Linked DNA regions of Oryza sativa Japonica Group. The protein of the gene in region 1 binds, or shares a complex with, the protein of each later gene. Links are inferred from orthologs where the notes say so. Each region holds a gene or a part of one and is shown in the gene's direction. Other genes may lie near its edges.

The links.
Region 2: the proteins of NADH dehydrogenase [ubiquinone] iron-sulfur protein 1, mitochondrial (region 1) and NADH dehydrogenase [ubiquinone] flavoprotein 2, mitochondrial are in contact, whole or in part, in a cryo-EM structure (PDB 8BED), measured with the Arabidopsis thaliana proteins. The link is inferred for Oryza sativa Japonica Group from reciprocal best matches to the Arabidopsis thaliana genes EMB1467 and AT4G02580. Residues at the interface, in NP_568550.1 of Arabidopsis thaliana: Val203, Lys205, Val225, Ser229, Gln235, Asp236, Leu237, Gly238, Ile239, Leu240, Gly241, Arg242, Gly245, Glu246, Glu247, Gly249, Thr250, Tyr251, Val252, Glu253; in NP_567244.1 of Arabidopsis thaliana: Asn33, Tyr34, His35, Leu36, Val90, Met93, Ala103, Ile105, Arg106, Tyr108, Glu109, Thr112, Phe113, Tyr114, Ser115, Arg119.
Region 3: the proteins of NADH dehydrogenase [ubiquinone] iron-sulfur protein 1, mitochondrial (region 1) and NADH dehydrogenase [ubiquinone] 1 alpha subcomplex subunit 6 are in contact, whole or in part, in a cryo-EM structure (PDB 8BED), measured with the Arabidopsis thaliana proteins. The link is inferred for Oryza sativa Japonica Group from reciprocal best matches to the Arabidopsis thaliana genes EMB1467 and AT3G12260. Residues at the interface, in NP_568550.1 of Arabidopsis thaliana: Trp361, Arg362, Leu365, Ser621, Pro645, Thr646, Ala650, Arg651, Asp652, Trp654, Lys655, Ile656, Arg658, Ala659, Glu662, Val663, Asn671; in NP_566416.1 of Arabidopsis thaliana: Lys120, Thr121, Phe123, Leu124, Phe127, Tyr128, Thr129, Ser130, Asn131, Tyr132, Phe133.
Region 4: the proteins of NADH dehydrogenase [ubiquinone] iron-sulfur protein 1, mitochondrial (region 1) and NADH dehydrogenase [ubiquinone] iron-sulfur protein 6, mitochondrial are in contact, whole or in part, in a cryo-EM structure (PDB 8BED), measured with the Arabidopsis thaliana proteins. The link is inferred for Oryza sativa Japonica Group from reciprocal best matches to the Arabidopsis thaliana genes EMB1467 and AT3G03070. Residues at the interface, in NP_568550.1 of Arabidopsis thaliana: Pro167, Leu168, Asp169, Cys170, Pro171, Ile172, Met198, Lys199, Arg200, Ser201, Val202, Val203, Asp204, Val214; in NP_566191.1 of Arabidopsis thaliana: Ile69, Ala71, Pro83, Ile84, Glu85, Phe86, Ile87, Cys88, Asp90, Leu91, Lys98, Tyr99.
Region 5: the proteins of NADH dehydrogenase [ubiquinone] iron-sulfur protein 1, mitochondrial (region 1) and NADH dehydrogenase [ubiquinone] flavoprotein 1, mitochondrial are in contact, whole or in part, in a cryo-EM structure (PDB 7AQR), measured with the Arabidopsis thaliana proteins. The link is inferred for Oryza sativa Japonica Group from reciprocal best matches to the Arabidopsis thaliana genes EMB1467 and CI51. Residues at the interface, in NP_568550.1 of Arabidopsis thaliana: Gly115, Asn116, Cys117, Arg118, Leu121, Lys129, Pro130, Ala135, Met136, Pro137, Lys153, Ala154, Glu156, Gly157, Val158, Glu160, Phe161, Leu162, Met164, Asn165, Arg194, Phe195, Glu197, Met198, Arg200, Ile219, Gln220, Ile239, Gly241, Arg242; in NP_196470.1 of Arabidopsis thaliana: Gly225, Ala226, Gln243, Lys245, Leu248, Pro250, His399, Glu400, Ser401, Cys402, Gly403, Gln404, Cys405, Thr406, Pro407, Arg409, Glu410, Gly411, Trp414, Met417, Ile418, Arg421, Met434, Glu437, Val438, Lys440, Gln441, Ile442, Gly444, His445.
Region 6: the proteins of NADH dehydrogenase [ubiquinone] iron-sulfur protein 1, mitochondrial (region 1) and NADH dehydrogenase [ubiquinone] iron-sulfur protein 4, mitochondrial are in contact, whole or in part, in a cryo-EM structure (PDB 7AR8), measured with the Arabidopsis thaliana proteins. The link is inferred for Oryza sativa Japonica Group from reciprocal best matches to the Arabidopsis thaliana genes EMB1467 and FRO1. Residues at the interface, in NP_568550.1 of Arabidopsis thaliana: Gly61, Gly62, Ala63, Arg64, Val65, His66, Lys87, Gly88, Phe89, Thr90, Gln93, Glu96, Val97, Asp101, Arg104, Tyr107, His108, Ser109, Leu111, Ser112, Ile113, Ala135, Gln175, Glu178, Cys179, Asp180, Asp183, Asp266, Lys288, Ala289; in NP_201560.1 of Arabidopsis thaliana: Ile55, Tyr57, Ser58, Pro59, Ala60, Arg61, Thr62, Ala63, Thr64, Gln65, Ser66, Ser68, Leu71, Val79, Thr81, Leu82, Lys83, Glu85, Thr92, Asp103, Lys126, Lys128, Lys129, Asn131, Thr132, Pro133, Leu134, Leu135, Lys136, Val137.
Region 7: the proteins of NADH dehydrogenase [ubiquinone] iron-sulfur protein 1, mitochondrial (region 1) and NADH dehydrogenase [ubiquinone] 1 alpha subcomplex subunit 2 are in contact, whole or in part, in a cryo-EM structure (PDB 8BED), measured with the Arabidopsis thaliana proteins. The link is inferred for Oryza sativa Japonica Group from reciprocal best matches to the Arabidopsis thaliana genes EMB1467 and AT5G47890. Residues at the interface, in NP_568550.1 of Arabidopsis thaliana: Lys397, Asn401, Arg402, Met403, Gly404, Asp406, Asp418, Ala419, Asp420, Leu421, Arg422, Tyr425, Leu563, Asp564, Gly566, Gln570, Arg679, Lys681, Ser682, Val683, Pro685, Asn686, His689, Glu692, Glu694, Pro695, Ala696, Ala697, Phe698, Ser701; in NP_199600.1 of Arabidopsis thaliana: Lys12, Glu13, Arg15, Leu17, Leu18, Gln20, Arg29, Val32, Glu33, Tyr36, Lys37, Lys40, Ser41, Lys45, Leu46, Pro47, Ile48, Leu49, Ile50, Arg51, Glu52, Cys53, Ser54, Val56, Trp61, Arg63, Met66, Gly67, Glu69.

What each region holds. Positions count from the first base shown.
Region 1 is NC_089037.1:29,731,586-29,735,529, reverse strand, and holds the start of NADH dehydrogenase [ubiquinone] iron-sulfur protein 1, mitochondrial, read left to right. Parts: upstream 1-1,144; 5' UTR 1,145-1,249; coding exon 1,250-1,676; intron 1,677-1,932; coding exon 1,933-2,179; intron 2,180-2,482; coding exon 2,483-2,777; intron 2,778-3,428; coding exon 3,429-3,803; intron 3,804-3,944.
Region 2 is NC_089039.1:25,329,404-25,333,594, forward strand, and holds the start of NADH dehydrogenase [ubiquinone] flavoprotein 2, mitochondrial, read left to right. Parts: upstream 1-1,391; 5' UTR 1,392-1,442; coding exon 1,443-1,544; intron 1,545-1,652; coding exon 1,653-1,709; intron 1,710-1,823; coding exon 1,824-1,889; intron 1,890-2,285; coding exon 2,286-2,402; intron 2,403-2,925; coding exon 2,926-3,003; intron 3,004-3,079; coding exon 3,080-3,185; intron 3,186-3,318; coding exon 3,319-3,365; intron 3,366-3,554; coding exon 3,555-3,632; intron 3,633-4,066; coding exon 4,067-4,132; intron 4,133-4,191. UniProt on the Arabidopsis thaliana protein: Core subunit of the mitochondrial membrane respiratory chain NADH dehydrogenase (Complex I) that is believed to belong to the minimal assembly required for catalysis. Complex I functions in the transfer of electrons from NADH to the respiratory chain.
Region 3 is NC_089041.1:26,863,243-26,867,406, forward strand, and holds NADH dehydrogenase [ubiquinone] 1 alpha subcomplex subunit 6, read left to right. Parts: upstream 1-1,364; 5' UTR 1,365-1,551; coding exon 1,552-1,764; intron 1,765-3,233; coding exon 3,234-3,416; 3' UTR 3,417-3,795; downstream 3,796-4,164. Other genes in the region: probable protein arginine N-methyltransferase 3, read left to right, coding at 1-11, 235-672. UniProt on the Arabidopsis thaliana protein: Accessory subunit of the mitochondrial membrane respiratory chain NADH dehydrogenase (Complex I), that is believed to be not involved in catalysis. Complex I functions in the transfer of electrons from NADH to the respiratory chain.
Region 4 is NC_089042.1:3,659,159-3,663,107, forward strand, and holds NADH dehydrogenase [ubiquinone] iron-sulfur protein 6, mitochondrial, read left to right. Parts: upstream 1-1,149; 5' UTR 1,150-1,217; coding exon 1,218-1,361; intron 1,362-3,028; coding exon 3,029-3,125; intron 3,126-3,249; coding exon 3,250-3,362; 3' UTR 3,363-3,548; downstream 3,549-3,949. UniProt on the Arabidopsis thaliana protein: Accessory subunit of the mitochondrial membrane respiratory chain NADH dehydrogenase (Complex I), that is believed not to be involved in catalysis. Complex I functions in the transfer of electrons from NADH to the respiratory chain.
Region 5 is NC_089041.1:27,139,177-27,143,397, forward strand, and holds the start of NADH dehydrogenase [ubiquinone] flavoprotein 1, mitochondrial, read left to right. Parts: upstream 1-1,421; 5' UTR 1,422-1,533; coding exon 1,534-1,587; intron 1,588-3,196; coding exon 3,197-4,221. Other genes in the region: protein DMP2, read left to right, coding at 1-94. UniProt on the Arabidopsis thaliana protein: Core subunit of the mitochondrial membrane respiratory chain NADH dehydrogenase (Complex I) that is believed to belong to the minimal assembly required for catalysis. Complex I functions in the transfer of electrons from NADH to the respiratory chain.
Region 6 is NC_089041.1:24,023,868-24,027,935, reverse strand, and holds the start of NADH dehydrogenase [ubiquinone] iron-sulfur protein 4, mitochondrial, read left to right. Parts: upstream 1-1,268; 5' UTR 1,269-1,345; coding exon 1,346-1,516; intron 1,517-2,791; coding exon 2,792-2,880; intron 2,881-3,333; coding exon 3,334-3,463; intron 3,464-4,068.
Region 7 is NC_089038.1:14,301,477-14,305,602, reverse strand, and holds the start of NADH dehydrogenase [ubiquinone] 1 alpha subcomplex subunit 2, read left to right. Parts: upstream 1-1,326; 5' UTR 1,327-1,373; coding exon 1,374-1,459; intron 1,460-1,548; coding exon 1,549-1,655; intron 1,656-4,126. UniProt on the Arabidopsis thaliana protein: Accessory subunit of the mitochondrial membrane respiratory chain NADH dehydrogenase (Complex I), that is believed not to be involved in catalysis. Complex I functions in the transfer of electrons from NADH to the respiratory chain.

The sequences.
Region 1 (3,944 bases):
GCGTGTCACTTGTTGGATTATACTTTACTCGTTTTAAGAATGCAGCACGCCATGACGCAACTGTACTGCTTTGATCATTTTATTAAGGCCTAAATACTGTTTAGGCAGCTGTTTGTTATGTGCTGAGAAAGAGAAGGTGACATTGGCGGCCGGTGTCATATCATCAAGAAGAAGGGAAAAAAAGAGACTTCAATAGGGGTAGCAAACTAGCAATCGACACCGGGTAGAATATTTGGAAAACAAAAGGAGATAATCCTTTGACACATCATCAGCTGCCGCTTAAGCAATCGAGGACTTCAATTGACATAAACAGGCATTGGTCCTTGCTCGAGTGTACAAGTCTCACTCCGATTGTCCTCTTGTGGTGACGGCTAGTTGGTACAAGATGGCCTTCGCTGGGTTTAGTTCCGAAATATCTCTTTCAAACTTTCAACTTTTTCATCACATCAAAACTTTTTACACACATAAAATTCCAACTTTTTCATCACATTATTCCAATTTCAACCAAACCTTCAATTGTGGCGTGAAGTACACATAACCCTTGTTGATGGGCGGCATCTTCTCGTTCATTCTCATCCTCTTTAGCCCAAAGGTGTGAATGGAGTTAGATGTGTCAGCTGTCGATTTTTTTTCTTCTCAGCAATGAGGTTTTTGTTATAATTGTTTTTGCTATACCAAATACGAAATGTCGTACTATCTTTTGTGCAGGTTAGAAAAAGAATAGCGTGGGTTAAATATGTACATCCAAAATGGACAGAAGAGAACCAACCACATCAAACTGTGCTGGGTCTCCACTTTGGGGGAGTCCGGCTCCGGCCCATTTCCCCCGTTGACGCCCAAGCATATACTGCCATCCGGGCCCCACCCTACACATCCCGCACCCCACCCCTCTCCCTGCGTTCCGGCCCCACATGCAGTCTCACACCGCACCTTACCTTGACCAAAACCTCGGGGGACACGTAGCAGCGGCCACCACCACACCACACACACTCGAGAGACCCGCCTCACCTCGCTCCGCATCTCCCCTCAATCTTACTCCGTCACTGACACGTGGGCCCGACGAGCCATGGACCCACATGTCAGTGACACAGGAGCGGTGGCACCGAAGGTACGAGAGGATCTCTCTCACAAATCCATCTCCTCCAACCTCGCCGCACCAGCCAAGGGCAGGAGGCTCCCCCCCCCTCTCCCACCTCCCCGCGATCCCATCGCCGCCGCCGCAGCCGTCGCCGCCGCATCCGTCGCCGCCATGGCCTTCTTCGCGAGGGCGATCCGCTACTCCAGCCCGTACCTGCGCTCGCGCGCTCCTCCCCCGCCCGCGGTCGCCGCGTCGTGCCGCTGGATCTCGCCGACGGCGGCGGCGGGGTCGCCGGAGGCGGGCGCGGCGGTGGCGCCCGCGGACCCGGAGACGCCGCCCCCCAGGGAGCCCGTGGGAGGGGCGCGGGTGGAGCTCCCCAGCAACCCGGAGGACGCGCTCGAGGTGTTCGTGGACGGGCACGCCGTGCGGATCCCCAAGGGGTTCACCGTGCTCCAGGCCTGCGAGGTCGCCGGCGTCGACATCCCGCGGTTCTGCTACCACAGCCGTCTCTCCATCGCCGGCAACTGCCGCATGTGCCTCGTCGAGGTCGAGAAGTCGCCCAAGCCCGTCGCCTCCTGCGCCATGCCCGCGCTTCCAGGTGAGCAGTTCGATGCGGACGCGGCGTCGCGCTTCGCGGCCATTACTCTCTGTTGAATTGGGTTTTGAAACGGACAATGTTGGTGTGGTTTGCAAAATGTTAATGCCTTAGTCTCTCGGATCCATCTTTGTGTAGATTTGCCTGTAGTCTATATTGGCTAGTGATAGTTGGACTAATTGAATGATTAGTAGAGTGTGTGCGTTTATCTAGTAGGATTTGCAGGAGTTCTTAACGTTGGAGCGCCTTGTTGTAATAGGGATGAAGATTAAGACAAACACGCCAGTAGCAAAGAAAGCCAGGGAGGGTGTCATGGAGTTCCTGTTGATGAATCATCCGCTGGACTGCCCAATCTGTGATCAGGGTGGGGAGTGTGATCTCCAGGATCAGTCTATGGCATTTGGGGCTGACCGTGGTCGGTTCACTGAGATGAAGCGGTCCGTTGTGGACAAGAATTTGGGCCCATTGGTGAAGACAGTGATGACCCGTTGCATCCAATGTACAAGGTAATGTTTTTTTTTTTGCTTTTCAGTAGATTTGAATGAGTATCCACTTAAAGAGGTTTACTGCTGTTCAGTTTTGTCTATTGTCTGCTCCCTCTGCTTCCTGTGAGTACTATGTTCTTGGACAACAGATTTAGGAGCTGTCTGTACAAACTTGATAAGTTCAAACTTTGAGACCAAACATGTTCCTGATATATTTTCATGCTGTGGTAGCTTATCATCTTATATCAAAACAAAATATTGTCTGGCTGCTTCTTCAAGCTACCCTTGGCCGGTTTGTAACTTTGTATTTCTTGAAAAATGCAGGTGCGTCAGATTTGCTAGTGAGGTTGCTGGTGTTCAAGACCTGGGTATGTTAGGTCGTGGCAGTGGTGAAGAAATTGGAACATATGTGGAGAAACTTATGACAAGTGAACTCTCTGGAAATGTTATTGATATCTGCCCAGTTGGAGCCCTTACATCCAAGCCATTTGCATTTAAAGCTAGGAACTGGGAGCTGAAGGGCACTGAAACTATTGATGTTACTGATGCAGTAGGTTCAAACATTAGAGTTGACAGCAGAGGTCCTGAAGTTATGCGTATCGTTCCACGTCTCAATGAGGTTCGCTTATTGTCCACTTCTGTTGTAAATTTGACTTATTCTATGATTTTTGCTGGTAATGATCTACATTAGGATCATCGGATCATTTGGTTGTGGTCATGTGTTCTAGGGAGTAGGAATAGTACCTATTGTATGCCTATGATTACATTTGCCTTTATTGCATGCATGAGGCAGTGTCATGTTTCCTTTTTGCCGTAAGCCACCTCACTCGGTAAATTTCTCTTTGCTATGTTAGTAGAGTATTTCTGTTTTTCTTTGATTAGTCAAGCCACAGACAAATGAATGGATCATTTTTCGTAATGCACCTTACTGTTTCTTGTCTCAGTCCGGATCCTAGAGCTAAAAGATATGGACATCTTGTAATGTTTCTCATATTGATCAATTCATTCCCAATTTCAGCTGTGTACATAGTAACACTGATGATAAATAAACGTGTTGTACACACTTCTAACTCAGTAAACGTGTTGTACACACTTCTACTCAGTAAACATGTTTAAGGAATTACAGTGTGGTCGTTTGGACATTAGTTGTCCTCATTCTAGCTTGTGGATGTTCAACAGCGTGTTGATGAAACTTTTTCCCTTCGTCTGTTATGTCACATCTGTCTGAAATAAACACTGAGTAAGCTTCCTGTTTTCGTGATACTTGCAGGATATCAATGAGGAATGGATATCTGACAAAACACGGTTTTGTTATGATGGTCTGAAGAGGCAAAGACTAAACGACCCCATGATCCGTGGTACTGATGGCAGGTTTAAGGCAGTGACATGGCGGGATGCTCTCGCAGTTGTTGCTGAGGTTTTGCAACAAGTTAAACCAGAAGAAATCACTGGGGTTGCTGGTAAACTTTCTGATGCAGAGTCCATGATGGCACTGAAAGATTTTGTTAACAAAATGGGTTCGGATAAGGTGCTTTGTGAAGGAAATGGTCCAAGTCCTCCTGCGGATCTACGTTCTAACTACCTAATGAATACTAGCATTGCTGGGCTTGAGAAAGCTGATGTCTTCCTTTTGGTTGGTACACAGGTAAAATCTTGACTATACCTTACCTGTGGCTATTATTTACTGCCAATTTTTCTTGAATTCTTCACTTCTCCAAGAAATGCTGTGTAATTGCATTGCCTCATTTTTAGCATTGTGGCGGCTTATCTCTAGCACTATGCAGTT
Region 2 (4,191 bases), on another chromosome or scaffold:
GCCGAAGTCGTCGTACTCTACGATCTCCGTTGGTCGTGAGTCGACACCGGGGGAGCTGAGGTAGCCGTCCAACTGTTTCGTCGAAACCGTGCCGAGAGGCTGGAGTATGACACCGACTTCCCTAGAGCTAGACTGGATCGGGGCCAGGGCGGATCCCGCCTAGACCTACGGGGAGATGACGCTCTTGTGGTGAAAACGACAGCCAAATCGTTGAGGAGTTTCATCAGGATTGGCGGATAGGCTCTATTGTCTTCATCGGGTCGTGTTGGAGTAGATTGGATCTCGTCCGAGTGGTTTGGGGCCAACTCGGTTGAGATGATCTTGGGGTAGATCTCGGCCAAGTTTGGGGTACGAACGGGGCGGAAACCTGGTCTCTTCCCGACTGGTTCGAATCCGAGTCAAGAAGAGAAATCTTGCCGAAGTCGTTGGTGAAGAAGTTGAGGCTGCCGAACCGGAACGCCTGCCCGGGAGGGAAGACGAAGTCGTCGATGCCGGAGACGAAACCCATCGCACTAATCGGCGAAGAACTTGACGCTACCCCTATCTGGCGCGCCAATTGTCGAAACAAGATTTTGGCAATACTAAAAGGGGGTGGCTATCAAGCTGGAAAAGTGGATGGGTTGAGAAACAAAGAATTTTATACTGGTTCAGGCCTTCTTAACAAGAAGTAATACCCTACTCCTGTCCGGGGATTGATTTGCCGAGTGTATTATTGATCGTATGATCTGGGAGCAGATCGTGCCCTAAGAGGCACCTGGACCCCTCCTTATATAGGGGAAGGGGTCCGTATTATAAAATACAGTCCATATCCCTAACGGAATAGGTAGTTACAGATAAGATTCAATCTTAACCGACTAAGATCCCGGGTATTTCCTTAACATACAAGTTTGGAATTTAACCCAAGTCCCTTTAAAGATATTCTATCTATACATGGCACCCCATACCCAGTCGGATTATAAATGCCGTGTTGGTATGGGGTATCCATAATCTCCACAAAATTGGAATAATGTGACGGAAAAGTTGAAAGTTTGTGTGTAGGAAAGTTTTGATGTGATGGAAAAGTTGAAAGTTTGGAACTAAACTCGGCCTATAATATATAGGACGATTCATTTTGCTTGAAGATTGGTGATCTACCGGTATATTTCCTCCGTACTAAAATAAACAATCCAGTATGAAGTATGATATATCAGAATCCTATTGTTACGAAATCCGGACAGTAGATCGTTATAATTGCCCAACCAAAAAAAAAAAGATCGTTATAATTGCCAGTACACGAAGGAATTATTACTATTGGGCCGATTGGGTCAATAAGCCCATGAGAGCCCACTGGGCCGGTGCTGCTGACGTCACGCCGAGCTACTTACCTCCGCGAGCGGCCACAACTCCGCTCCCCTCCCCCCTCTTCGCCTGAGTCGAGTCGCCTCCCCCACCGCCGGCCAACCATGCTGCCGCCGGCCGCCCGCCTCGCGGCCCGCCGCCTCCTAGGGCTCGCGACCTCCTCCGCCTCGGAATCGGCCGCGGCGCGACGCTTGTCCCGTTCTCCGGTCAGTGCCCCCCTCCCCCTCCTCCAAATGCCTCTGTATCTCCTCGCTGTTCGTCGGCGGAGCTTTGCCGTCCTGATCTCTCCCTCCGGGGGCAACGTCTCGTTGCAGATCTCCTACGCCGCCGCGGGCTGCTCCTCCAGGCTGTTCTCCACGGCGCTTAACTACGTACGTGAGGCGCCTCCCCCTTCCCTCGGATCCACCCCCTACCCTCTTCCCTGATCTGTCTGTTTTGTCTGAGGATGATAATGAGTCGGATTTGTGGGTTTGCTTGTTGTGCAGCACCTCGATTCGCCGGAAAACAACCCCGACATGCCGTGGGAGTTCACGGAGGCCAACATGAAGAAGGTGCTGTTGTTCGTCTCGTTCATTCATTTCCCTGTGATTTATGTTTTGGATTGGAACAGTGGCTGGTTTTGGAGTAGTTGTGGCAGAATTTGTTCAGTTTTGTTTTCGGATGTTCAGAAATGGCTGTTAGGGTACCATTTTATTCAGGACTATTAGATAATAATATAATCTTACGTTGGAACTGGTTGCTGGTTATTTGAGAAGGGGAAACGTTATCTGTCATGTAAAACCTTTAGAAATGTGCAAATCTGCAAATGTCCAAATGTAATAGAGACGTGGGGTATAGTGTTCTATTCCTTTGACATGGGATTTAGGTTTTGTGAATACGGTTTATATCAATTGTATCAGCTATTTTGGTTATCTGGCCTAAAATCTCTATTTCAATAACTAATTCAGGTTAATGAGATATTGTCTCACTATCCAAGCAACTACAAGCAGTCTGGTATTATTCCAATGCTTGATCTTGCCCAGCAGCAGCATGGTGGATGGGTGCCAGTTGCAGCAATGAATGCTGTAAGTCCCTTTTTTATGAGCTTTCGATGATCAACTGTTTTCCGCCTTTAATGTGCTATATCCTGTTTTCAATACTTCAATTTTCAGAAAGTGATGTACCTCAACATTTGTTAGTTGTTACAACCCACGTTAGCTATAGTTATATTGGACTTGCTTAGCAGACATTCATAAATCAAAACCTTATTGCACTGGCCTTGTTTCTGTTCACTTCTTCGTCCTACTGAAGATGGGTGACACTAGGAAATTAGGAGCCTTAATAGTAAGAGGCATTGGAGAATGGGGGTTGGCAATCACAAAAGAAAAAGTTCTTGTCAGCATATCAGTTGACATATTTATATAATTATAATTACAATTGAGTTAATCTCCTCAGGACTAGGACTATTACAATAACATTGCTACTGGGAGTGTTATAGCTTATGTTACATTTTAGATATTTTGTACATAGACCCAACCACCATTCCACCACCACTGTGCTCACAAAAAGCATTTCTGACAATACTATTTTCATGTCTTGGACTTTCAGATTGCTAAGATCGTTGAAGTTGCACCAATCAGAGTATATGAAGTTGCTACATTTTACACAATGTTTAACCGGACTAAGGTATCTTTGCATGACTTAGTATTTTGTACTTGTTAATCCCTCCACTAGCATCTTTTCACCCTATTTTGCCATGTAGGTGGGTAAATATCACCTTTTGGTGTGTGGAACCACACCTTGCATGATTCGTGGTTCACGTGAAATTGAAGAAGCCTTGTTAGAACATCTTGGAGTTAAACGGAATGGTTTGTATTATTCACATAACTTATCCTATCAACTAAGAATAACACTTCCTGATTTGTTACCACAAACGGTCTTCGAGCATGTGTTTCTCTTGCTATCTCTGTGATAGCATTAACATTTTTCTTTCATTTGCAGAGGTGACCAGTGATGGTTTATTTTCTGTTGGAGAAATGGAGTGCATGGTAACTTCGAGATCTATAATTTTCTGTCATTTTGGATGCTTGCAAATAGGTGTTCTAGTTGAGTTAAGTGTTTAACTATAGCCAATAGGAATGGTCTGTAGGATTTTGTCAGTGAATGATTCAGTACTCTAATGAAAAAACATAAGTACAAGGCAACTTTTTATTCAGCTTTCTGTTATATGTTCACAGGGCTGCTGTGTGAATGCTCCCATGATTGCTGTGGCCGATTATTCTAAAGGTTCAGAGGGTTACACATACAACTATTATGTAAGTATACACATTGATGCATCCGATTATCTATTGTTGATGACTTATGCTAGTACACGCGGTGGAAATTTTAGTAGAAACATCACAGCATTAGTAAGAATTAGCAGCTGGTGCCCACTCGTGTTAGTTCATGTTTATGCACAAAATGAAACATTGTCAACTGAAGAATATAAACTTGCATGTTATAGGATGCTGGGCCCCTGGGTTTCTATACTTCTTAGCAGGCGTCTTTGGAGAAATAATGCTAACATAGCTACATTTTTTTGCTAAACTTCCATGCTATAGCAGTACTGTGGCACTGAAAGCACTAATGCCAACAGAGTAACAAAAGACGAGTGGATAAAACTTAACAAAACCTGCCTGCCTTTTGCTGAGAGAGGAAGAAAAGACTTATTTGTGTACTGTAACTGAGCATTTCCATTTCCCCTTTTCAGGAGGACCTCACTCCTAAACGAGTTGTTGAGATCGTCGAGATGCTGAAAAGAGGAGAAACCCCTCCTGTAAGCTTTGCTCTTGAACGAAATAATTCTTTTGATATTTCTAGCGACAAGTTTTACTC
Region 3 (4,164 bases), on another chromosome or scaffold:
CTGTTCTCAATGTAAGTCCCATGACCTACATGCTTCAACTGGGTTATGCACTTATGTTTCAGTATTGTCTTTTTGTTGAGGTTTGAAATACAGATCAAGAGATAATTGTGATTTGGTTGACCGTCTGGAGGTGTAGATAACATTCATAATGAATACTACTTCCTTTGTGCTCGAATGTCCTTCCAATGCACGGAATTGTACTTGACATCTTGTGTTTATTCTGTTTCTATGCAGTCCTTTGATCTGGCAACTATGAAGGAAAATGAAATGGATTTTACTTCAAGCTTTGAGCTGAGGCTCAGTGAAAGTGGTGTATCACAATCTGGAGTAACCTGGTGCTATGGCATTATATTATGGTTTGACACTGGCTTTACGAACCGATTCTGCAAGGAGAAGCCAGTCAACCTCTCCACCTCTCCTTTCTCCACACCGACTCACTGGTCTCAAACTATCTTCACCTTTGAAGAGCCCATCGCAATGGCAAAGGAGGAATCAGCCGTTGTCTCATCTGCGTCAGTTGGCACAGATGAGTGCCCAGCTGTGATGATCAGATCCCGCATCAGCATTGTGAGGGCCTCTGAGCACCGCAGCATAGACATATCGATTGAAACTACAGGAATCAGCTCAGATGGCAGGAAGCGTAGCTGGCCTGTTCAGATCTTCAACCTGTGAGCAAGGAGCCAAGGATACCTTTGGGTATAAATTTTGTTTCGTGCTTTGCTCCTCACTGGTTTTGAGCAAGGATACTACCCACAGCAAGTCTTAGCTTTTGATTGGGTCCTCAAATCTCAATTTCTGTACGCTGAAACAGAACGGCATCCCCACTGAAGTTTTGTGCAATGGTGAGCCTGAAAACAGGCCAGATTGAAGCGCTGTGGAATGGTCAGGGTGAAAAAGTTCATGGGATCGAGACTGAGTTGCAGTTTTTTTTTTGGCTATTTCTGCACGTGAACTGAAAGATATATCTTGTAGTGATGTTTGAGATATGTATCAGTATTTTACAATGATATCAGAATTCAGATTCATTTGGATACCAGTTCACTTCAGTTTCTGTAAGATGCTCGGTTGATGTGAACCTGAAGATCGCACTATCTTCTAATCGTCGGTGTGTCGGTAGAACAAATGTTACTCCTATTTTTGCTGCCTTGCCATAATCAACTGCAAAAAACTTGAACAAATTTCAGACTCTGTTTTCTTCTTGCAGAAACTCAAAGCAAATTTCAGACTAACCCGGTTTCGAAAAAACAAAACAAAAAAAAAATTCAGGCTATTAGCTAATCAGGCCTTGGGCCTTAGCATCTTCGGCCTCACAGGACAGCACGCGGCCATATCTACCTACCAAATCCCGAATCTCGAGGCAATCCGACGGCTGGTGATTGGCAACAAGGCCGCGAGAGGATTCCGATACCCTTCTCTCTCTCTCCGAGCTCGAATCCACCACCACCACCACCACCAATCGGAGCCACCGGAGAGCGGCGGCGCAGCAGACGGCGGCGGCTGCGGGGGGCGAGAGGCCGATTCGCCGGAGGAGAGAAGGAGAGAGAGAGAGAGATGGCGTTCACGATGCGCGCGGTGAAGGTGCCGCCGAACTCGGCGTCGCTGGAGGAGGCGCGGCACCGCGTGTTCGACTTCTTCAGGCAGGCGTGCCGCGCCATCCCCTCCATCATGGAGATCTACAACCTCGACGACGTCGTCACCCCGTCCCAGCTCCGCTCCACCATCGCCAAGGAGATCCGCAAGAACCAGGGCGTCACTAACCCCAAGGTCCCAACCTCGCACCCACCCCCATCGATTTCATCCGTCTTCCCGATTTCGTCGATCTGCGCCTCGTGAATGAGAATTCTCTAGTGGCTTAACCAACTGCTCGCCTGCTCTCTCCGATCTGGTCTCTTCTGGTCCTTGGGAGTTGATGATTTATCGGTGTTAGGTGCTGGATCGGTAGGTTTTGATTAACCTAGGATTTGATAGCCTCTTGTTTGCAGCAGGGGATTTAGACTAACCTTCTGCCTCAAGGACAGTAGTATTCCGGCAGGTTTGATGCTATGTGGGCAGTAAATTGTTTTCACCGATGGTTGGTCAATTTCTATATCTAGACATCTGGATATCATTTAGTGATCTACTTTCTGTGACATAGCACATGATTATCTGAACTTCATTGCTGCTTCCATGTTATATTTATACTACCAGTATCAACAATGCGATTCACATTTGTCGATGGTGGTAGTAGTAGCTAGGGATATCATCTGTACAATGCGGGCTCTCACAGTTAAGACAGTCTAATGAGGTTTTTGGTCTTTGCACAATCTTCTGATAGGTATCTTCTGGCATTTTAGTTTAGACTAGAGAGAGCGGTTTTGTCGGCTGGCCTCCTTTGCTTGTAAAAATTGAGAAAATTTGTCAGTTTAATTGAGCAAGAGTGCTTATGAATACGATTCAATGCACATAATATTAGATCCATACCACCTCTCCATGTACATGTTTCTAGATCCCCTGAAGAAACATTTTCTTTTGTTATGATTTGCATCTTTGTAGGCTAACTATGTTTGCTGGCTTCAATTTGAATTACACTCATTTGATTAGGCCCTTAGGAAGACTTCACCTGAAGCATGCACTTAAACTAAAAAATGTTAATGTCAGTAAAAGGGATCTATATTTTTATCTTGGATAATCCAAAGCTGCATCAGCTTGAGTTGCAAGGATCAGAGATTGCACGCGTTGATTTGATCCAATATTTGAAGAAACCTCAACTTTGTAACAAAACGCAGCAAATTCATGTTTTGTTTTTGGATACCTTTTGTCGTTTGTTAGATTAGAGTTGTTACGATCACATGAATACTATTGGGAATGCTTCTGTTCCATACCTCAGGTTTGGTCCAGTCCTTGCTCGTATTGCCCAGTTCTCCATTGTATCTGAGTGCAGTAAATTCAGATGAATGCTTCTTTTGATCAAACGCCAATTTGAATTCATTGATCATCACAATCTAAAATGATAAATTTCTCCCTCATACCCCCTGTTTTGGTGATTGTGTTGCATTTGGGATCCCTGTATTATGTTGCCCCTCTTTATGTTAAGTACATTTTCTACCAGTGCAGAATTATCTTGTTGTTTGTAGCTTCTCATGACGCATCACGAATGACCTGAAAATTTGGTCGTTCACATTTTCTTTTTGTCTCACTTACCTTAATCCTTACTGTATCAATGCCTCATCTAAGCTATTTTTGTTTGCAAACAGGTCATTGATATGCTCCTGTTTAAGGGGATGGAGGAGCTGGGCAACATCACCGAACACGCGAAGCAGCGCCATCACGTCATCGGGCAATATGTGGTCGGCCAAAAGGGACTGGTGCAGGATATGGAGAAAGACCAAGGGTCCTCAGACTTCCTGAAGAAATTCTACACTAGCAATTACTCCTAATCTGTGCTGCAAACTCCTCCTCCTTCAGTAATACCCGAGAAGTGATCTGAATAAGACGCTGAGAACCCACAGCTTTAATTGTTTTATCACTGGAATCTTTTTGTTATTCTGCTTGATCCTTCAATCATCTGCGCAGTGTGGCGCTGTTGCTAGTGAATTGTTTGTAACTTGTAGACTGTACTCTGCAAAGTTGATGTTCATGAGTTCATACCGTGTGTCAATGGGTTCGAACTCATGTACCCAGCACATGACCATCACTCGTTTGTCGTGAAGTCATTGATTCGATTAATCTGTAGCATAAAAGGTCATGGCCATGGAAACAAATAATAAGTGTTGCCGTTCTCTAATATACTCTTGAGTAGTTGTGACTTGTGAGGTATATTAAGAATTCAGATGGCATCAGATGATCAGTATTCAGGTGTCCCTGTCTGCTTAGCAATTCAAGTTAAAATGGCAAGGATAAGGGGATTAGAGAGTAGTTGTGAACAAGAAGTTAATATTGCAAAGGATAAGGGCATGAGAGAGTAGTTGCGAGCAAGGTTAAAATCTCGACTCTGTCATGCGAATTTATGATCCTAATTAAGATGCTTGATTCCACAATTTTACGTAGGTAGAATTTACGATTTCACGGTTTTAATGTATACGATTATATTATATGGTCTGTTTGGCACAGCTCAGCTCTATCCCTGGAGCTTAGCCAAACAATTCCAGCTCCATTAAAACTGGGAGTGGAGATATGTGAAGTTTT
Region 4 (3,949 bases), on another chromosome or scaffold:
AAGGACTATCCATCACATATTTACACCTTTTTATTAAAAGCAGATCTTATCTCGAAGCAAACTGCCAAACTTGTTGTTATAAATAACTGATTTAAGATTTTAAGGAGGAAATCCGAGGTCTTGCATGTTCAACCGGTATGAACTCGTTTTATATTATTTTTTTTAAAAAAAAAGCTTAGGACTCTTTCGAATGTAGAAATTTTTTAGGATTTTCACATTTATTAGTTTAATTCCCGTATAAATCCTACATAACCCTTAACATGGAAATTCCGGCAGATAAAATCGCAAGCCTTCAAAGGCTAGAGAAAGCCATGCTAAATACCTGAAAAATCAAATATTTTTGTTACCTCAAAAGCTATCCTACAACCATAGGGCTACTAGTACCATGGTTTGTATCAGACTGAAAAAATCGTTGGAATATTTTAATCCTATTTGCGTAGAATGCACAATATAAGTGGTTGCTGTCTAAAGATAATACTCCTCCAGATGATGATAATAATAATAATCAACTTAATGGTCAAAATAATACAAACATGAACAAGTTTTAAACCTGACACTAGTGTCTACCAACATGAAAACTCGAATGTGAGCATTCATCGAGATAGTGCACGCCCATGCTTTGTAAACCCCTTGATGCCTCAACAAATCCGAAAATGTATAGTGATGTGAGCGTGCTTACTGCTGAGTTTGTGCACGTGCCAACGTTTTCTTTCTGAATGTTATAAGAACAATAAAAAGAAAAAATATGGCATTATTCTGTAATCATCAATCTGGGCCGTGCTTTCTTTATCAAGTGCATTACACCTGTCTCGTTCTTTTCTAATTAAAATACAGATTTTATATCAATTTTCGTCAACACATTTTTCAAATGGTTAAACGGTGCATTCCGTGCTTAAGACTTTCTGTATAGAAGTTGCTATAAAATATATAAAAAAATCTATTTTTAAATTTAAAATAATTAAAACTCAATTAATCATATGTTAATGATTTTTCTCGTTTTACAAGATTATAATCACATCGAACGGGGCCACATGCACAATGCAGTGCCGAAGTATGACCAGCCCAACCAATTGTGTAAATGGGCCTTATTGGGCCGGGCCTATTTCGAGAGATAACCTAAATCCATCACAAAAAGAAAAAAAAAACTTCGTCTCTTTCCTCCCTTCTCCCGAAATCCCTCGACCCTCGTGCAGACAGCTCCTCCTCCCCCATCGGCCATGGCGACCGCCGCGAGACGTCTGCTCCTCCCGGCGCTCCGCAAGTCCCTACCCGCGGCCAACGGCGCCGCGCGAGGCGTCTCCACGGAGAGGGCGGTCGGCGCCGCCGCCGTCGTCGGCAGCCACACCGCCAAGTGGATGCAGGTAACCCCCCACCTCGCCGCCCTACAGCCTTTCTCCGGGTGTGTCGGATCCCTGGTCCTCTCGCGAGCCTGATAACCTGCCCGGCCGCCCCCGCGTGTAGCGCTCCCCGATTCGGTGGGGGGGGGGGGTGGGGGGGGGGATCTAGTCTTCTTTAGGTTCATGTGGACGTGTGCGTTTATGGCTCTCGATTTTGCGTGCAATCGCTGTGTAGGCGTGTAGCTCGCGATGATCAATTCCATTTTCCCTATTTAGGTCAGCCTGGGCGCTTTAATTGATGGACATAGTCATGTATTTGTTTCTGCAAGTTGTAAGTGTTTTTGCCCCCCCCCCCCCCCCCCAATAGCTTTTCTTATGTTTTCTTGTTTAGATCTGAAGACCATGTTCAGGTTTGAAAGGTGTATTGCTTGTACGAGTGTATGTAAAGCATGTTGTAAATGGATTGCATGGAGTTTAGGCTGTTTAGGAAGGATGGTTTGGTTTTTAGGCACTGGGATTCTTTGTCATAATAACATTGCAGACAGATAAGGGTCTATGGGTTCATTTTCATATCTCTGTAAGATGCATACCCTGCATGCTCTACTGCCTTGATTCCTACAGTGGCACCATCCCTAGATTATGAGAGGAGTCCTGTTAAGTTATTTAACGATATCTAATTGCAGGAAAACACATACTACTGATTAGTGACAGCCTACTCAAATACTCCATGTTACCTTAAGCATGCCAACATAGGGTTTAGGTGGTTAATACATATCAACACAGCTCGTGACTCAGGAGTGGAACCGATGTTTTATTAGTGCAGTTGTCAATTTTTCATGCATCTTATTGGATGTTATCCTCCCCTGAAGGAAGGTACTGTTTGCTATAGGTTTGCAGACTCAAGTCACTCGACTGTCCTTAAATTAGTTGCGCTAGCCTCATCTGTAATATGCATGCTTATTCTCTCGTATTTAAGAGAACCGTTATCTTGATGAAATGTGCTTGCCTTGGTAGATAGTGGCATGACCTTATTGGGTAGTTCTCACAAGATGTGCATCATATGATTTTGTATCAAAGTAACTTATGTTCAGTCGGAAAATTACATATCCCCTTCAATTAATTATAATGTCACTCACAGGCTCACTGCCTACATTGTTTTGTCATGCTTTTAGTGTATATATTTTCACCCATTTGCTGAGTAGGCTTTAGATGGTTGGAATTTACTTGAACTTCTGCGTGGATAGGCTGGTGTCTTGGTCCATCCCAGCCCATCCAGAAAAGGCCTAAATGATGAATATCCATTTGAGTTAGGCTTTCAGTAAACCAGGAGCCAGCAAACCAATAATAGGTGATGAGCCACCAGTTTAATTGAGTAAAGATTATTGTTCTGATTGCACTAGGCAGGATGGTGGTGCCTAGTCAAACCATACACAAACAGTGAATAGGTGAATCATTGCCTTTTAAAACAGTGTTAAAGACTTATGTTCGTTGTTGCACTGAGTAAGAATCTATAAATCATCTGCGACGCAAGTGATCCCCATATCCTCAAAATTTTTAGGATTTGTATATATACCAGGTTCAGACCATGATAAAGTTTATGAGTTGGTTATGCAATATTTGCACCTTAGCACTTGTTGAATCATGAGCTCATTTTCTAAATTATGTTCATTCATTTACTTTATTCATTGCAGGACACAAGCAAGAAGTCCCCAATGGAATTGATCAACGCAGTACCTCCGATCAAGGTTGAAGGACGAATTGCTGCTTGTGATGGGCGTCAGGATAAAGGTGAGCCTTGCAAAACTAGTCGTATATATATATTCTTGTATTTGCGCTTTGGCTGTATTGTTGCTTCCAAACTATACCTATGAGGCAATCTTCTGCAGGCTGACCTGTTCATATTTTGCTACAGGTCGTGAAACTGGTTCCCTCGGCCATCCGATCGAATATATCTGCCTTGACCTGGACCAGCCTGCTGTATGCAAGTACTGTGGTCTCCGTTTTGTTCAAGATCACCATCACTGAGAAGACAAGATGCAGTCCTTCACCACACTGAAATTTGGAATTGAATGTGTGTATTTGGTTTAAAATGTTCCAGTCAGCGTGTCATGTATTCTGCCTGATGGCAAGATGATGATATCTTTGACGATCATCGTACTTTGAATGACATAATAATGCCCGCTTTAATAACAGTGGATTTCTTTTTCTTTAGTTGGCATCTGTTGCATTTTCTGAGTCTATGCAATTTCTGTATCTAATTACCCGCTCTGCGAATCTGACAACCTGAGATCAAAATTGAATCAATTGCGAAACTAGTTTAGTTATAGGATTTCCAGTTTTACCTGGCCCAAATATTTTACTTATTCTGTCATTACCTGATCCAGATAATTTCTTTGCCAGATTCATTACGGTTATCTGTGTTTTCCTCTGTTTTTCAGACTTGTGACGGATGCAGGTTAGTTCAAACACTCCAGACCGACACTTCTGTGTTGCATATAAAGATGGACGTTGTAAAAAAAAAAAAAGGAAAAAAAAGCATCGAACTGAAAAGTGAAAATATTGCTAAGACTCCTCGCCAAAAAAAAAAAAGGGAAAAAGGAAAATTGTTGCTA
Region 5 (4,221 bases), on another chromosome or scaffold:
CGCCAGCGTCGTCTTCGTCGTGTTCCCGTCCACCCGCCACGGGATCGGCTACCCGCCGGCGAAGCCCGCCACGGCGTCGCTGGCGTCGCTGTAGGCGGCGAGCCCGATTAGTCGATTTGCATTGCCATGCAGGCATGTGCTTCCTTTTTATGGGTTGTGTTTTTTTAAATATTTGCACGTGTGCATATGTGTTCTGTCTGATGCTTTTGTTCGCATTTGTTCATCTGTCTGTTTGTGACCTAATAAGGCCAAGAGCTAGTTTGATCTCGTTGATTTGCCTCATCTTTGTGCAGTTTATGACTTGTTATATTCCATCGCAATGGATGAATCCGTGGGGAACTATATGATAAACTTGGCAAACATTTATGAGTTTTTCATCTGAATTGAATGTCCGCACGATTATATTAGCGAAAATGTTCAGTAAGAACTCTATGAATGCTGTAGTTAGCATTCGTGCTTAGAGCATGAAAAATGGTAGTTCGATCTTGTTGATTTGCCTCATATTGCGCAGTTCATGACTTATAGGGATGGTTTGGTTTGGGGGTCTAAATTAGCCTTACCAATATTTGACAATTTTAATAGCGTTTAGTGTCTATTTGGTTTGGAGTCAAATTTTGGCATGCCTAAGAAAATAAGTCATTTAAATAGTTAATTTAGGCTATTTTGACTTCAATCCAAACACAACTTTGCCTTACCAAAATTATGCATGCCAAAATTTGCTAAAATTTAGCATTGACAAAAATTGGTAAGGCTAATTTAGGCCACAAAACAAACCAGCCTATATTGATGTGGAAATCTTTAATTGAAATGGATGAATCTGTGGGAAAGCAGATGATAAATTTGGCAAACATATATAAATTCATCTGAATATTGCAAGGTAGTTAGCATGCATGCTTACTAGAGCATGACAAAATGGTAGCACCAAGAATAAAATTATTTGCAACGAGGTCCGTCCTCGCCGCCGGCGGCCGGTGAGCTCGAACACGCGGTGGCCCCGGAGCTCCGGCAGTTTTGTCTGCTCCGACGAGACGATCTGGCCGGTGGAGACGTTCGGGACGCCGTGGCGCCTGTGGCCGACCAACGCCGGGGTTGGAAACCGGACGTAGCCGGTGAGGCGGTGACGTCACCCGTTGAGGCCCAACTAATAATATGGGCCGGAAGTTCGCCACAGCACCGTCCCGGCCCAACTAGCATTACGGGCCTCATATGGGCCAATACCAAACTACGGCAGGCCGCACCGTCACGGCCCAACTAATAATACGGGCTGGAAGTTCCCCACAACGGCCCAACTAGTATTATGGGCCAAGCTCCGCTCCGGCCCAATAGCTAGCACTCCAGGTCGGAGGGAGCAGCGCGTCCGTGTGTTGGCCTCACGCTCGCTGCCTCTCCTCTTGGCCCGGAGCTCACCCACGCACGCAGCCGTCTCGTCTCCCTTCTTCTCTCTCCTCTCCTCTCTTCTCCGGCACACCACACCCCAATCCTCCCCCGATCTCCCCAATCCGAGAGCTCCGGAGGAGCAGCGCGGAGGCGGAGATGGCGCTGCGGCGAGCGCTGCTCAGATCTGCCGAGATCTCCCCCGATCGCAAGGTCCGAATCCCCGCCCTTCTCCACTCTCCTCCTTCCCCCCCATCTCTCTCCGGTCTGGATCCCCCAACCACGAGGGGCGCGAACGCTGTTACCGCCTTTGCGAGAATCTGAGAGGAGTGCGCGTAGCGGGTTTGAGCTGTGGGAGGGTGGAGGAGGGTTTGCACCAGTCGATGTGTGTTGGTGGTGCGCGCATGGCGACGAATCTCTTCTTCTTCCGGGAGTAGAGGATAGGTCGAGGGGAGAGGAGTAACCGATGTAGAGCATGGAATGCCGATGGACAGTTAGGAGGGGCTCCATGTCCGTCTCTTTTGCATTTCGTATTAGTTCTGTAGGGATTTCTGGCTGTAAAGTGTTTACGACTTGATGCTTAGGATCGAGTTTCAGTTTGTTGCGGATGTGGTTTCTTGTTATGTCGTGGATACTCGGAGCATGCCGTAAATTGCTTGGATAGGCCATTCAAAATCTCATTTGTGAAAACCGAAAATGACCATGCAGTTGCAGACTAGTTACTACCTCTTTGTATTCGGTATTGCTGATGAAAACATGTGCTACACTCCTTTGCTTGATTGAAATAGAGAACAATAATTCAAAAGCTCGTTTTTGAACTGAAGATGACCATTCAGTTACAGGCTTGTTGCTACCTCTTTGTATTCAATATTGCTGATGAAAACATGTGCTGCACTCCTTTACTTGATTGAAACGCGAAACGATCTTTACTCTTTCTACTATATTAGTGTTTCCCTGATGCCCCGAGCGGAATACCAGTATTGTGGTTATCTTATTTCAATAGATTAAACAAACATGGTGCATTTATGAATATGCTACATTCTGTAGGGATATAAATGTGTTTGATATTGGTATTTCGTGGCTTCTCCTTTGGGTACAACTAAGAACACAACAAATGATACTTCACCTCAAAGTGATACTATCTTTTATGCCTTTCGTAGGCTTACTTAGTTTTTACTTTGCATATAAAACCACTACTACAAATAGGAAAATCGTATTGCAGATACTGAAAACCTGTCCTTTATCAGGACAGGTATGCTCTATGCTGCAATGAGATTATCAAAAACACCAACTTGCTGCCAACTGAGCATTTGATCTTTTCTCTTGTTACTTAGATACTTCTAAAATAATGCTCCAACATTGTAGGCACCTGCTGGGCTTATATATAATTCATGTTTCACTTATGGGCTGATATATTTGAACTTGATGTATTTATTTTGGTTTCTAAATCTGCAAAATTGTTCCCATTCTATTCGTTGATTTACCATTTACCTGCAGCAGCAAGTTTGAGTTGAAAGTAGAGATCCTTGTCACCATGTTCTAATTACTCTATTCTAGTTCACTTAACTAGTTAAAAACTGAAGGCAAGAGCATCAGAATTCTGTATTTCTGATCATTTCTTGATGTTCATGTTGTTCTTAATTTTGCTTCTTTCAACACTTGCTTGGATACTTAGTCAGCTTTCAAATGAAGATTACTTTAGTCTTTTGCTTTTGACAAGTATTGGCGTATTGTAGTAAAGTAACTACAAACTTTTTTTTGTCCTGAATCACATCTCATGGATCAAGCTGTGATAACAAATTGGTTTTTTTTTTCTTGTCAGGCTGCACTTGAGTACCTCCATTATCTATCGAGAGCACAGCCTACTCGTTCTCTAACAGGTGCTGGCCTTTATTCTGCTGGCAAATCATTCAGCACTCAGGCTGCTACTACATCAAGCACACCACAACCTCCACCACCACCTCCACCTCCGGAGAAGACTCACTTTGGTGACCTCAAAGATGAGGACCGCATTTTTACCAACCTCTATGGTCAGCATGACCCTTTCCTGAAAGGTGCAATGAAGAGGGGTGACTGGCATAGAACCAAGGATTTGGTGCTTAAAGGGGCAGACTGGATAGTGAATGAAATGAAGAAATCGGGACTTCGAGGGCGTGGAGGTGCAGGATTCCCTTCTGGGCTTAAATGGTCCTTCATGCCAAAGGTATCTGATGGACGCCCTTCTTATCTTGTTGTTAATGCTGATGAGAGTGAGCCAGGAACTTGCAAGGACAGAGAAATCATGCGTCATGACCCCCACAAGCTTCTGGAAGGCTGTTTGATTGCTGGAGTTGGGATGAGGGCATCGGCTGCTTACATCTACATTAGAGGTGAATATGTGAATGAGCGTCTCAACCTTTTGAAAGCTCGGGAGGAAGCATACGCAGCAGGTCTTCTTGGTAAGAATGCTTGTGGATCTGGTTATGACTTTGATGTGCATATACATTTTGGTGCTGGTGCCTACATTTGTGGTGAAGAGACTGCCCTACTGGAAAGTCTCGAAGGCAAGCAAGGTAAACCAAGGTTGAAGCCTCCTTTCCCTGCCAATGCTGGCCTATATGGCTGCCCCACAACTGTCACAAATGTTGAAACAGTGGCTGTGTCTCCAACAATTCTCAGGCGTGGTCCAGAATGGTTTGCAAGCTTTGGACGCAAGAATAACTCGGGAACTAAACTATTCTGTGTCTCAGGTCATGTGAACAAACCTTGCACTGTCGAGGAGGAAATGAGCATACCTCTTAAGGAATTGATTGAAAAGCACTGTGGAGGTGTGAGAGGAGGATGGGACAACCTGCTTGCAATTATTCC
Region 6 (4,068 bases), on another chromosome or scaffold:
TAGAGATGTAATCTTGCATTTTCATGTGATCTTTTTTTTTTCAGAACTTCATGTGATCATAGTCATACGTATTTGTCCTCCTACACAATGTTAATCACTTTTCATTCTTAGGCGAAATACAAAAGACTTACTCCCTCGTTTTCTAGATAGTTAACGTTTAAAACAAGTTTCGGCCAATTAGTATTAAGTTTATAAAATTTAATTAGTCTATATTATGGGCATAAAACATTGATACTACCAAGTCTTTTGTTTTTAAACTAAGCATTTCAAAGACTATTGATAGTTAAAGTTTCAAAAGTAAGATCCAAATAGGTAAAGTTAACTATAGGACACTCAAAATTTGTGTTTGTTGATAGAAATCATAAAAACGTGTCACGGCTGAAAGACACTCTTAAAAAACTGATAATTTGCTAAATGACACTTTCGGCTCAATTGAAAAGAAAAGTTCTTAAAAAAGACAAGGATGCCCCCACGGTCAAAAGATTTTGAACTGAGACTAGGGTGAAGATAAAATATCACGTATACTAGTGATGTACTTGGGGTGATGCTAAATTTGGAGTTGCATAATTTCTAAATTCGTACTTTAACGTTATGTTTGAAGCATGTGATTCTAGGGGCATTCTTGTCTTTCTCAAGAATTTATCTTTTTAATTGAGTCGATATTGTTCTCTAACAAATTACTAGTATTTTTAGATGTCTTTCATTTGTGAATGTTTTTTCGATGTCTATCAGCAAATTACACGAAATTTAGATGTTTTGTAGTAAAATTTGCCATCCAAATATTGTCCGGCCTAACCATCAAATATTCACGACCAAATGGTGTATTAAATTATCTGAATACACTTATTATGGGTGATTATGCTCTTGATGAACTTCATCACGGTGTAGTTGAAATAACGGAACTGAAAAATGAATTCTATAAATTATCAAAAGGGCCATCAAGAATTATTCCAGAGGCAGCCCAATATAACATTGCCGGCCCAGATAAGTCAGTGGTTCATCTGGACCAAAACCCAACGAGCTAGTCTAACCTCGGTATGGGCCTTCAACTCCAAGGCTGCAGATCACCCACTGGACCATAACTGGGCCCAGCACACAGAAACAAATCGAATTCGCACCAGTCTGGGCCGCAAGGCCCGGCCCATAAACCAATCGGATCCCACAACACTGGGCCGAGAAGATTGGCCCAACATGAGCTGCTTCCAACATATCCTCGGTCCAGCCGTCTCTTCTCCCAAGTTCTGAAGTGCTCTCTCTCTCTCTCTCTCGGTGTTTCCCCTTCGGCCTTCTCGTCCGCCCCTTCTCTCCTCCACCATCCGCCTCACCGGCGTACGGCTCCGACGAGATGGCCGCCCCGCTCCGGCGGAGCCTCCCCTCCCTGGGGCGCACGCTCCTCTCGCCGTCCCCCGCGCCCGCGCGGATGCTCTCCGCGGCGGCGTCCGACGCCCTCGTCGAGATCAAGCCAGGCGAGATCGGCATGGTCTCCGGCATCCCCGAGGAGCACCTCCGCCGCAAGGTGCGGTGCTTCGCTGACCTTACCTCTGATTTATGTAGTGGCGATAGATTGGCTAGCCCTCGCGGATCCGTGTGGGAATCGCTCGAGATGTCCAGGTTTGGTGGGTTGTTTTGGTCGTTACTCGTGTTTAGGGATAGAGGCATAGAGCCTGGAGGCGTCGGGTCGTGAACTCGTCGTACGGACTACAGTGCTATCGCTAGTAGACGTTCGAATCGTGGAGTGGATAGAAATGCGAATTTGGTGATGATGTTTTACGCTTGTGTGGTTTGAACTGCGTTTAGAACTTGGGAGGAATGTGCTGCTCTCCAGGTTGGGTTCTCCCACTTTAGATTATGTTAGTGGAGGGCTGGAGGCAACAGAGTTTGATCAAATTATCCTGATTTGGTTTATGTACTGTGAATGACTGAATGTATATAGGTGTATGTTCTTACCTTTCAAATTGTTTGTGATTAGAGTTGACAGTATTGGTGTTAGAGAACTGTACATACCAGAGTTTAGATGATGCTAGGATGCTTATTATTTATCCATTTTCTTGGTGTACATCAAACTTAAAAATACATTTGATAGAACTAACTGCATACAAAGAAAGATGAAATTGCTAGCAATGCTTAGCTATTGAATTTAGATAACTTGTTGGACTATGAACTAATGTCTGTTTCATACCATTTCATAGTTCTTGTAATTACCTCAAAATCCATGTAGAGGCCTACTTGTAGAGTGGTAGTTTCTTGTTCTGACTTCTGAGGAACAGAGCTTCCATGAAATAGTTTTCTCTACAACATAATCTCGTTAATACGAATATTGTTTGATGATCAATTCTTCTGTTGTTTCAAAGATCCGTCTTAACTTCAAAGAGCTTAGAAGCATCTTATGATATGGCCCAATGCTGATAGCACCACTTCAGTCACATTTTTCATGGTATTATCAACCTTATGTTTGTCTGCAGAGAGAGGATGCCTACACATCAATAGATCTTATGTTTTTGCAGATTTATTATACAGAGTGAGCCCTAGAAAATATTTTGATTGTGATCTATGTTCTTGTAGATCATTAGACTGTTAACAAGTGGTCTCCCCCACCTTTTAGTGTTTATACAGTAAACGGCCTTCTAAATGGCCTACGACAGGATTGTGTTATTCAGATAGGTTTAAATATTTATACTGTAAAGAAAATATGATTTTTGTTGCTGCCACTTTTGTTCTTTTAAGACTCACTGTATGCTTTTCAACTACCTAGCTGGGAAGACATGATCAACTTATCCTTGTGTATTTGCAGGTTGTAATATATTCACCCGCTAGGACTGCATCTCAGCAGGGTTCAGGCAAAGTCGGGAGGTGGAAAATCAACTTTGTGTCAACCCAAAAGTATGTTTCCAGTTTTGTTTTATTGGTTATTGTTGATTCATTTTCATGAATTATTTACCTCAAACCCTGTGTTGCTGTTTGGTGAACTGCCTCAATAATATATCAAATGAAAACAAATAGTCTCATATTAAAACTTGATTTACATTCATAACAGAAGAATTCATTGACGATTGAAGTCTGTTTCTTTTTTTCCTTTAACGTGAGATTACCCCCCCTTTTTTTTGTACAATGAAAGCCTTGCAACTGATGCATTTGACCTCTCATTGAGGTGGTCACCTTGGTTTGGTCAAACAGTGTGTACTTAGTCTATTTCATTTCTTTTATGTCTCATGCATTTACTTCATTTAGCTTTATGTATCACCTCCTTATTATATAGCATTCTAGCATACAATTAGATATTACTATTTCAGTTGCTGCCGCTTTTTCCCCTTCTAACATTTGTGTGAATAATAGGTGGGAGAACCCATTAATGGGATGGACATCTACTGGAGATCCATATGCTAATGTTGGTGAAGCAGGGCTTACGTTTGACAGTGCAGATTCAGCAAAGGCATTTGCTGAAAAGCATGGATGGGATTATGTGGTGAGTTCTTACTATCTGTCTATCCATTCCTGATACTTAACATCAGGTTTAAAAAATAAGGCTATACTTATTTCTGAAATATTAGGATATATTGGAGCAGGATTTAATTGCATATTCTCTCTTGAATGTATAGGATCATTTGATTCTTAATTCTTTACAATTTAGAGGTTAAAGTAAGGAATGTTCTTTTATAGTGTTCTGAATTCTGATGGTCAGGTTTCTGAAGGAAATTTGGTCCATTTATGGGTGCATGGTCTTTTATTTTCAGATTGCCTTGCATCCAATGTGCCATATGATTTAATGTTATTTGCCTTAAATCTTTGTCTTCAGAATCACTTGTCGATGTTTCAATTTTGAAAAATAAAATCTCTAAAAATCCTTCGTATAACTCAAGGAGTAAATCTGTTGTTCCCGATTTTTGTTGTACTTGTAATTTTAGTTAGGACACATGGAACTTTGATTTTATTTCTGTGGCAAACTAGAGCTTTTTCAAACAATTTGTAACTCGTATATTATTTGCGTATAAAATATGTTCTCGACAGTAGGAATGCTTTTGGGGGGCTATGGTGCAGTATTCATTGGCATACCACGAGCCTTTATATTTG
Region 7 (4,126 bases), on another chromosome or scaffold:
AAAATCGTAAAAGTTGTAATGGCGTAGATCCAATTAACCCTTAATAAAATATCACTTAACCCATAAAATATAATTAGGAGAACGCTACACATCAGACATTTGATATTTTGCAAAAAAAATCAGACGGTGTTTCACCACATATAAAAAAAATATTTCAGATGTTTCATCACTCGTTGAATAATGTTTCACTAGAAAATGTTTCGGATGTTTCATTACTCGATGAGAAATGTTTCACCACTTGGTAAAAAATGTTTCAATTAGATAAAACAATGAAAAAACATTACTTGCAACATCAATACTCTACTCTGCAATATTGAATAGAACACATTGTACATCATGTGCAACATCCAATAAAACGAGGATGAAACACACGAATAAAATAGAGTGTAACAAACATATACAAAAGATTGCAATGCAACATCAAATCAAAACAAAATGAAACACCTTAATACAACAGAGTGCAACAAGCTTAACAGTAGAATGCAACATCCCTAAAACTCCAACAAAACAAACCTAGCTACCTCCATCTTCTTCAACTCCGGTCGTCGGCCCCCGAGGAAACCCACCTCCGTCGACTTCTTCTTCAACTCCGGTTGCCGGCCCTCTTCTTCTTCAACTCCGGCCGCCACCCCCCGACACCTACATCTTCTTCTTCAGCTCCGGCTGCCATCCCCTGACATCTCCATCTTCTTCTTCAACTTCGGTAAGCCGTGCCTCCGCCTCTCCGATGGACGGCGCCATGGTGCGACCTCACCGCTGTCGTCCTCTGCCTCGTCCACGAACGCCTCCCATGCCTCGTCGATTGGCGCCGCATGGCCCGCGTATGCCACACCTGGCGCACTGCCGTCAAGGGGGAGCAGAGCAGAAACTGCCGGAGCGCTGGCTCCCATGGATTCTCATATCGTCTTGCCCTCCGTCGCTGCCGTTGTGTGGCCAACACTGGTGAAATAGCAAGAGAGAAGAAATTAAAGAGAGAGAAAAGAAGGAATGTGTGGTGGAGATGTAGCTGTGTGTGTGGATAAGGACGACGTTCGTCCGTCCGGAAGCATTTTTCAGATAAATATCTTTACACCACCATGAATTGTATGGGACAATCGGGCGATAAATTAAGATGGTGAAAGGAAAATACTCTGTTTGCTTACAGACCAAACCCTAATGACCCCACAATCGTCCCACACCAAGCTCACAAGTCCCAACCGTCGCTTGGCGATCGGACGGCGTGGATCCAATCCAACGAGACCCTCCCCCAACCCTTGTCCGCCGCGTCTCTCGCCGTCGGTCGCATCGCACCCCCGCGAATCCCCCCCCACAGGCCAACAGCAAAGCAGAGGCGAAGGGAAGAAGAAGAAGAAGAAGCGGCGGCGGCGGCGGCCATGGCGTGGCGTGCGAACCTCTCCCGGGGCGTGAAGGAGATCCGCTTCCTCTTCTGCCAATCCTCCCCCGCCAGCGCCCCCGCGAGGTACCGTCCGCTCCCCCGTCTCCCCTTTCTCTCTCTAGGGTCCTAGACCCGATCTGAAGAAGAACCGCGGCGATTCCTTCCTTTCGCAGGGAGTTCGTGAAGAAGAACTACGGCGACATCAAGGCGCGCAACCCGTCCCTCCCCGTCCTCATCCGCGAGTGCTCCGGCGTCGAGCCCCAGCTGTGGGCGCGCTACGGTACGCGTTCTTTTTTTTTTTCCTCTCTTCTCCATGGAATCCGAGATCCTCTGAGCCGGTTCTTGAACTTTTTGTTCTTATATCTTTTGCGGCGTGAAATGTTAGGTTAGGATACCGGATCGTGTTGTCTTTTAGAGTTGGGCATCATAGGTTACATTGCTTATGTAAAATACTAGAATGTGTGAATGCTTGAGAAGGAATGGCACATTAGGTTGATTGCGATCTGAATGCTTTCTTTAAGGAAAAATATTTATAGAGAAGCATTAGGTTTGTCCAATGATATAATGCTAACACAATGTTGTTAAAAAATGGCCAAGATTTGGAGAAGGAGAAAAACAGGGGACGACAATGTGGACTAGCTGTAGAGTTATTGTTGTGATAGTAAGATCATCTGTTCAAGTCCACACTTTCCTGTGGGTTCTACTAATTAAAAACCTAAGATACATGGTTTCTCTCATATGTTCTTGGTATTTTTAGACAAGAAAAACATTCCATGACAATTGTGAGTGTTACTTCTATTCTGCTTGATCTGCCACAGACAGCCAAATGGTATTGTGCGTGCAGATGTTCAAATGAACTACTACATGCACTGGATCTGGATTTGGTATAACTTACTACAAATTACAGACATAGTGACAACTTCTAACTCAAGGCATAAACACAAAAAAAAACTGAATAGTCTACATGACTGTGAAGAAAATCTAGAGAAGCTTAGGGGATGTTTGGCCAACTTTGGGTTAAGACCAGCTCACAGGATTGACGGCTTAAAAGCCCAAAGCTCGCTTTATTTTGAAAATCACACACACACACACAAACTCTTTGTTGGGACTTGGGATCTTACTTATGGTCCATATGGATTCTTCCAATATTATTACGATGATACTCTGGGTATATTAAGGTTCCCTCTTAAACACCGGCATTTGTTTGGATGAATATAAATAAAAGATTGGGATAGATGGAAGAGTACCCATATGGAGTTGTCTATGTGAGCAGGTTGAATTGGTTGAACATAATGTGACAATACCTAGGGAACTAGGAAACACTCAGTTGTAGGCACCTACAGGTGGTGGAGGTGAGGAGAGGTAAGATAGGGAGGTTGCCTTATAGTTTATAGCCCAAAGCTAGTCTAACCTAGCAAACAAGGAGAAAATAAATATTTTCTGTGAGGATAAATTTCCTTTTACGCATTGGGATCGCTAAGATGGTTAGGATTATAAACTTATCATCCATCTTACCCAACCACGGCCAAAGGCATTTTCTTGTTCTCCTAATCCTAAGAGCTGGTCGTTCTTATTTCCAAGGGAACTGGACAATATTGCCAATAAGCTTATGTTAAAACTTGACCAAAGATCTCCTATCCTAACTCGATTAATCAATAACCATGGTTCAATAAGGTGCTAGGCACTAGTGGGCTGGCGCTTACCGCCTAGGGATGCCTAGCCCGAACGTCACAAGTAAATTCCAAGCAATTGGTGAGCATATTACATAAAACTTGAACAGTGGAGTACTAAAATAGCAGCACAAGAGCCCCCAGGGGTACTTAGCTGCCTAATGAACCATCTAATGCCTAATCAGGTTGGCAACTGGGTACCTAGAGCCAACTTTTGGAACACTGTCAATAACATTTACTGTAACCATTTCTTATGAACTTGATCATCAGTTTACTCGACAGTACTATCAACACCATCACCCTTCCTGTTACGTATACTCAATGGTGCAATCATCCTAGGGAAATCTGATTGGTCGTAACTGTCCATTGTACAAGGAAGTATCATGGCTTGTCAAAGCCACACTTTTTTTTAGAACACGCAGGAGATCTGCGTATCATTTCATTGAGATAGAGGAAAAAAGGTGGATGGCGTTAGAGATAAACTCCGACACCCACCCACCCGGAAGTACAACACCAACAAAACACACCCACAAGAAGCAAAACGAACCTAGTGCACTAGTACGACAGCCCTAGACAAAAGATCACGAAGCTTAGAAGCTCCTGGTAGGCACCAAAGGGCGCCCTCACTTGCAATGGCTTGAAGGACATCAGCCATGCTTGGGGTAGTGCCATTAAAAACACAGTTGTTTCTATGCTTCCAAATCTCCCAAGCGACCAAGATAATAAAGGAGTTGAGCCCCTTCTTCTCACTAGCAGGCAATCCCCTTATTGTCCTTGACCACCAACTGGCGAACCTAGTAGTGCCCTGGCTTGGAAAGTTAGAGTAGCCAAGCCGTTGGAGAACCAAACACCACACTTGCTGACTAAACACACAAGTGACTAGAATGTAATTAATAGTTTGCTGAAGCGGAACCTGGTTAGTAAGGCCGCAATGTTTTTAAACATAGAAACATCCCAAGTATATACTCAAATATATACATATGGACTCTATTCTGATAGAAATATAAAACAATATTTAATTTGGTGATGACAACTATAATATGGAGTGTTATTGATCAATTTGTAAAAACCAGATATAATC